2 linked regions of the Arabidopsis thaliana genome follow. The protein of the gene in region 1 purifies or fractionates together with the protein of each later gene. This does not show direct contact. Each region holds a gene or a part of one and is shown in the gene's direction. Other genes may lie near its edges. The genes, in order: AT5G59330 and AT1G48610.

Region 1 (3,585 bases):
AGTTCAAACACAATGGCTTTCGCTTTGAGGTTCTTCACATGCCTTGTTTTAACGGTGTGCATAGTTGCATCAGTCGATGCTGCAATCTCATGTGGCACAGTGGCAGGTAGCTTGGCTCCATGTGCAACCTATCTATCAAAAGGTGGGTTGGTGCCACCTTCATGTTGTGCAGGAGTCAAAACTTTGAACAGTATGGCTAAAACCACACCAGACCGCCAACAAGCTTGCAGATGCATCCAGTCCACTGCGAAGAGCATTTCTGGTCTCAACCCAAGTCTAGCCTCTGGCCTTCCTGGAAAGTGCGGTGTTAGCATTCCATATCCAATCTCCATGAGCACTAACTGCAACAAGTAAGTATTTAGTTTTGTTTTACTTGATCTAGAGACCATGAATTATTTTTTCTAATGACAAAATGTGTTCTCTTGATCGTTTGGATTGTTGCAGCATCAAGTGAAATGGAAGCTTACGTCGTCGTTTTGGCGTTAAGAGTATGGTTTACCAGAAGTACTAGAATAAAATACGGCTATATATCTTAGCTGATATTACCATGTATTTGTTTTTGTCTCAATGCTTTGTCTTATTTTCATATCATATGTTGTATTGATGTGCTAAAACTATGATAATAGTACCTTATTAGTCATCTTCTTTCTAGATATCTCCTCCAACGCATACGAACGTAATAATAATATGTGAAGAGTTTTATAACTATTAAGTAACCAATAATATTAAGTTCCTAGTTTTGGAGTGACATTATTTATAAAATTGATATTTATACGAAGAAGACATGCTCAATGATTTTTCTCCTTTAACCCAAAAAAATAAATCTCTCATCCATACTGATAAAGTAAAAGCTGCTGCATCTGCAATAGAAATTTTACCATTATCCGAAAAAATAAAACTTTACGTTGACCAACCTAATTAAATAACAAAAGTAATAATCCTAATTAAATAACAAACACCTAACAACATTGTTTTTTTTAATCTAAGAACAATGTTATCAATCTTCACGATTTGATTATGCATCGAAGAAAAAAAAAAATTTTTTTTTTTTTTTTTTGGACAAAATCGTTACTAATGTCATGCAAATTTTATCAACTCTGCGTTTGCGTCAAGTTACTAATGTCATGCAAAATTTCGTCCAATATCGTGTTGTAATACCTTACTACGCAATAACGCAAAGCCATCTCAAGTTCCTCGTCAGCGACTTAAGCGGTTAAGCCCATTATACCGCATCTGATACTCTCAAATCAGATAGCATTTTTCAAAGTATGGTTGCTAGTGAAAAATTGTCAGAATTGATCTCCTGATTTGGTCAACATTTGGAGCTTAGCCTTTAGGACATTCAAGTCATAGTCATTGACTCAAACCCGTAATGTGCGTTGGGCTTTCATCAGGTCCGTTAAAGGCCCAGAATCTTCAACTTATTGAAACCATATATTGCTCAATTTCCAAAACCAGCTTGGTTTAATTTTAAGGACTCCGATAACCGGACTTACATATTAAACTCTGCTCCTGGTTTATTCTTCAAATAAGCTGGTTGGGAGAGTTGTCAATTTGTCATGTTTGATGTTGGATACACGTGTCCCTCAGTTATACATTGCACTAATTGGACGGTAATTGAGATTTGGCATAATTAAATCTCCGATTTCTAACCAGTAACCGCCATCTCCATCCTTTTAACTGTTAACTTTTTAAGAGAAAAATATGCACAGTGATGACCTTGCTTTGAATCAAAACATATATCTTAAAATAAATAAAGATATAGACGACAAAAAGTTAATGTACATAGTAACTGATAAATATATAGATCAATTTAGATATAGTACTCATAGCTAAAAACAAATTAAATTGGTGGAGGATACACTTAGATATGTTCCTTAGTTTCTCATTGCATTGAATTGAAATATGAACGGTACTGAAATAGTCCGTACACATAGCTAGCAAACTATTGATTATATATGTACGATATCGAAGATTAGTTATGCTTTGCTAACGTATGTTTAGCAAAGCATGTTATCAGTATTACTATTCAAATCTTCTGAATCGCTCAAAAGTATGATATCTTAAAATACGAAAATATACAAAATAAAAGTATAAAAAATAAAAGTAAGATACGTACTATTGTTTACATTTGACTATAGCAAAACATTCTTTCTCGTTAGTGGAAGAAACAAGAATAAAGTAAATGCGTATCTAACTTCTAACAAACCCTATACTTAGTCACCATTTTTTCCATCTAAAATCCCTATTTAAAACCATCATCACCTCCCACTTTTCTCACATCCAATAGCAAAACACAAGCTTAATTAGAAAACAAGACTTAACTAAACCTCTACTTTTGTTTGTAATAACCAAAACAAAATAGAGCAAACACAATGGCTTTGGCTCTCAGGTTCTTCATATGCTTCGTTTTGACGGTGTGCATAGTTTCATCAGTAGATGCAGAAATCTCATGTGGCACAGTGGTAAGTAACTTGGCTCCATGTGCCAACTACCTTTCAAAAGGTGGTGTGGTACCGGATCTGTGTTGTGAAGGAGTTGAAAAGTTGAACGGTGTGGCTCAAACCATGCCGATGCCTACAGTCCATTGCAAAGGGCATTTCTGGTCTCAACCCAAGTCTAGCCTCTGGTCTTCCTGAAGAGTGCGGTGTTAGCATTCCCTATCCCATTTCCTTGAGCACTAACTGCGACAAGTAAGCTTTTTTTTAATTGTTGTACATATATAGTTAGTCTCCTCTCTTTTTCTTTCTAATTAACTTAAGTACTCATTCTAACTAAACACCATGATATAATTTTTATTATTTGGTAAGGTATACGTTTTGATTGTTTTTATTGTTGCAGCGTCGAGTGAAGTTGGAGCTTAATTATATATATATGTATAATCAGATTATGGTTTTAACATAAGTAAAATAAAATGTCTATGTACGTACGCTGATCTCACCGTGCCTTTTTCTTGTGGCTTTGTAATCTTTTGGTTGTTCTGAATTGTAACTTATCATGTTAAAGATAATAATAACACCTTAATTAATCCTCTTTTCTTGTATATTTTTCCAACGCCTTTGTTCGCAACACTCTTAGTGACAAGTTCTCTAACAAAAGATCACGGATCTGAGCCTTCTGAAATGGTGAAAATCAACTTGTATCATTTTAAGTTTTTACAAAAGTGGAAAATCAACTTGTATCAACTTGCATCTATAAACTTCCATTCACCACCTCATCATAAAAAATGGAAATCAATTTGAATATATTCTTAACGCGTCATTAACAAATAGAATTTGCTTTATAAGGTCTCTTCTCCCATCCATAACCCTGACCCTTGGTGATTTCGGATCGGATAACCCACCCAACTCCACTCTGATTTCCTTGTCCTTGCCAAGCACCATATGTATTACATGTTTACATTTGATCCATTCTGGTGGAGGATGGTTCCATTTGATACATGTATTTCATGCTCCAGCTTGAGTTCTCCTATGTTCATTTTGTTCTCTTCAATTGCCCCACTTTTCTGCATCTTCGTCCAACGCACATTGAAATCCTTTCCTTTGATATGACTTTATTTCTGGATTTCCAGAGCTTCCAAATCAG
Region 2 (3,927 bases), on another chromosome or scaffold:
GTTTCCGGTGGTGTGGAGACTGTGAAACGAAGAGGTAGACCTCCGAGTGGAAGAGCTGCTGGGAGGGAGAGAAAGCCTATAGTAGTCTCAGCTCCAGCTTCAGTGTTCCCGTATGTTGCTAATGGTGGTGTTAGACGCCGAGGGAGACCAAAGAGAGTTGACGCTGGTGGTGCTTCCTCTGTTGCTCCACCACCACCACCACCAACTAACGTAGAGAGTGGAGGAGAGGAGGTTGCAGTCAAGAAACGAGGAAGAGGACGGCCTCCTAAGATTGGAGGTGTTATCAGGAAGCCTATGAAGCCGATGAGAAGCTTTGCTCGTACTGGAAAACCCGTAGGAAGACCCAGAAAGGTAAAATATCATTCCTTTTTGTCTCTGCGATTACACAGTGATTATAGAGAACTTGAATATTTCTAGTCAAATAGATAAGAGAATAAAAGTTGGAACTTTTGTCTTGTGAATAAATGTCACTTTCCATTCTCAACATTGTCTCTTTCGAGCGTGTGTGTGGAGACTAGAGAGTATCTAACTAAATAAATTCTAGAGTTTAATTTATATTCGTGTCTCTGCTTTTGGCCTATACTTAATCTGGTTTTGTGGTGTACTATTAATCTAAGATATCTCTTTGTTTGGTAATCAAGAGCAACTTGGTAGGTGGCTCGCTTTAGCAACCAATAATTGTTCAGTTGAAGTGTGAGAATTACATATGAACTTATCTTTTGAGACAGACATCTTATCAAGTTTTGTCTGTTTTAAGCAGAAATTTAGTTAATTCAGTCAAAGTTCAAGAGTTTGTGTATTTCCAAGTCCACTAGAATTTCTTTGTCTATTATATTGATGAGTTAGTTATCTAATTACATTTATATTATTGCCATTTATAAACATAGAATGCGGTGTCAGTGGGAGCTTCTGGACGACAAGATGGTGACTATGGAGAACTGAAGAAGAAGTTTGAGTTGTTTGTAAGTAATCTAATGAACAGAAACACAATATGGTCCGTCCTTGGTTTTGATACTTAATTGCTTATGCTTGGTTTTGATATCTCATTTATGCAGCAAGCGAGAGCTAAGGATATTGTAATTGTGTTGAAATCCGAGATAGGAGGAAGTGGAAATCAAGCAGTGGTTCAAGCCATACAGGACCTGGAAGGGATAGCAGAGACAACAAACGAGCCAAAGCACATGGAAGAAGTGCAGCTGCCAGACGAGGAACACCTTGAAACCGAACCAGAAGCAGAGGGTCAAGGACAGACAGAAGCAGAGGCAATGCAAGAAGCTCTGTTCTAAAGATAAAGCCTTGACATAAAAAGCTAGCAAGTGGTGGGTTTACTTGTTGTGTGTTACATGAAATTTTTAATCTTATAAGGGTGTTTGCAGGAGAAAAACAAAAAGAACAATGTGATGAACTGATGATGATGATTGTGTCTCTAACCAAACAACAAGGAGAGGTAGGGTAATGTCTGTAAAGTGAATTAGGATGTTACCATTGTTCATGCTTCCCATCTCTCTCCATCGTCCATATCTGTGTAGGCAGCTTTGTTCTTTGTTCCCTCGTGTTTTTTTTAGACTGTTGTGTCTCTTATTCTATTTTGTCTCCTTAGGCTTTTTAGGAGTTGTTGTTGATGTTTATCAAAAACGCTTATGTAATTTTTATGACCACTTCTACTTTTTATGATGGTTTCTTCAAGTCTCTTACGTTATGTAGTTAGAAAACCATTAAATAAAAGTTGCTTATGTCAGTTGCTCTGTTTTAATTTGAAATCCGGTTTTAATTTTAAGTGTACTTATTGCAGAAATTAGGTAGAAGGTATAGAACGGTTTTACTCTTCACTCACACACCATTTAACCAAATTTCTAAATTTATTACTCGATAAACACTTTTTTAACAAGTTTTCAATACTTTTCTCCAAAAAAATTTTGAATTTGAAATAAAGTAGTGTATTTTTCGATTTTGGTTTTATAAATCAACTTTTTTTTTTGAAAAAGTTAAAAAGAAATCACCACCACATTTGCATGTTATACTATAATACCAAAAAATTAATATTCGTGATTTATTTTAAAAATCTGTGAATTAAAAAGAAAAATGAAATGTTGATAAATAAAAATAAAAACAAGGAGTAAAGGTGGACCCATATCGGTTGACGCAACTGATTCTGAACCTCTCGGTCGTTCGTTTCTACTCTTTCCAAGCTCTAGCCCATGGTGGTGACCTTCTTCTTCTAACCGCGAAAACCATCTCTATCTCTCTTATCTTTCTTCTCCGCCAAGTTTCTCTTTGTAATTTCTTTCTTCTTCCTCCAGATTCTTCAAGCTTCCTTTACCATCTCGCGAATCCTTCTATTAAGTTGAACAAGGTACGTACATTGCGATTTGCGAACCCTAGTTTTTCTCAAAACGAAATCTCTACGCGTGAGAGCCTGAATCTGTGTTTTACAGTCTTCGTTTCTAGATTCTAGGTTTGTGACATTTGAAATTTCGTTAAGGTTTTAGCGAAATCGAGTTTCTGGTTGTTTAGTTTAAGTCTAGTCTCCGTTGATGTCCGTTTTTGCTAGGGTTTTGATTCCGATTAACCGCCGTTTTCTCACATTTTGCTTTCTCTTTTTTTTTTTTTTTTCTGATTCGCATCTACAGATCTCATGGCGAAAACAGCTCTTACTCCTCCCGCGTCTGGTTCCGAAGTTCCAAGATCCGGTACACCTGGAGATGCGTCTGGCAACAAACCTCAAACGGATGCCACCGGCGTCTCAGCTACTGATACTGCTTCTCAGAAACGCGGTCGTGGTCGACCGCCAAAGGCTAAATCTGACTCTTCCCAAATCGGTGCCGTTTCTGCGAAGGCGAGTACTAAACCAAGTGGTCGTCCGAAAAGAAACGTAGCTCAGGCTGTTCCTTCTACGTCTGTGGCGGCGGCTGTGAAGAAACGTGGTAGGGCAAAGAGGTCGACTGTAACGGCGGCTGTGGTTACTACTGCTACTGGAGAGGGTTCTAGAAAACGAGGGAGGCCAAAGAAAGATGACGTGGCGGCTGCAACTGTTCCAGCAGAAACTGTGGTGGCTCCAGCTAAGAGACGTGGAAGGAAACCTACTGTCGAAGTAGCTGCACAGCCTGTGCGCAGGACTAGGAAGGTATGTTTCTCTTTAATTTCATTATCTTTATTCACAAAATGTCAAAAGAAATTTAGAAATGGTCTGATACCAATTATATGATTGTTCTTGACTGTTTGTTCTGTATAGTGTGGAAATAATTCAGGGTAATGTCTTATTTGACTCTGGTCTCAAATGTGGTCTACTTTTAGGATTGCAGTATCTGAAATTCCCCGTATTTTTAGAAAAATGTGTATCTTATCTGGATTTTGGTGTATTTTGGGAAAATGTCTTATTTAATATTGTTCTTCTTGACTGTTTCTTCTGCATATAGTAGATAAAGTTCAGAGTAATGTCTTTATTTGTCTCAAATGTGGTCTATTGTGAGTGTGAAGTATCTGATATTATTCGTAATTTCTTTGAAAAGATGTGCATCTTATCTGGATTTTGGTGTATTTCATTAAATCTTTTTTTGTATAATGTGGAAGTGAAAGTGATTGGTCTATTTGGTAAGAAGTTATCATGTAATTTGAGTCCAAATAAATTTCACAAGTGTTTAGTTCATGTTAGACATAACAATGCTTAATGTATAATTTTAACAAAAGGTATATACCAATTATACGGTTGTTCTTGACTGTTTGTTCTGCATATATAGTGGAAAAAGTTTAGAGTTGTATGTTATTTGTCTCTGGTGGTCTCAAATCTGGTTAATTTTAGGTTCTGCAGAATTTGAAATGATTCGTAATATTTTGAAAAGATGTGTATAGTATCTGGATTTGGTGTATTTCTTGAAATCTATTTGGTTAGTCATTATCATTTCATTTGAGTCAATATCTACAAGAGTT

The links.
Region 2: the proteins of AT5G59330 (region 1) and AT1G48610 fractionate together in Arabidopsis thaliana (co-fractionation; one large-scale study listed by BioGRID). This does not show direct contact.

The regions. Positions count from the first base shown.
Region 1 is NC_003076.8:23,929,039-23,932,623, forward strand, and holds AT5G59330 (Bifunctional inhibitor/lipid-transfer protein/seed storage 2S albumin superfamily protein), read left to right. Parts: upstream 1-2,275; 5' UTR 2,276-2,375; coding exon 2,376-2,639; 3' UTR 2,640-2,693; intron 2,694-2,841; 3' UTR 2,842-3,033; downstream 3,034-3,585. Other genes in the region: LTP3 (lipid transfer protein 3), read left to right, coding at 13-350, 445-454.
Region 2 is NC_003070.9:17,971,507-17,975,433, reverse strand, and holds the start of AT1G48610 (AT hook motif-containing protein), read left to right. Parts: upstream 1-2,031; 5' UTR 2,032-2,353; intron 2,354-2,630; 5' UTR 2,631-2,635; coding exon 2,636-3,124; intron 3,125-3,927. Other genes in the region: HON5 (high mobility group A5), read left to right, coding at 1-351, 888-962, 1,056-1,286. UniProt on the Arabidopsis thaliana protein: May bind DNA.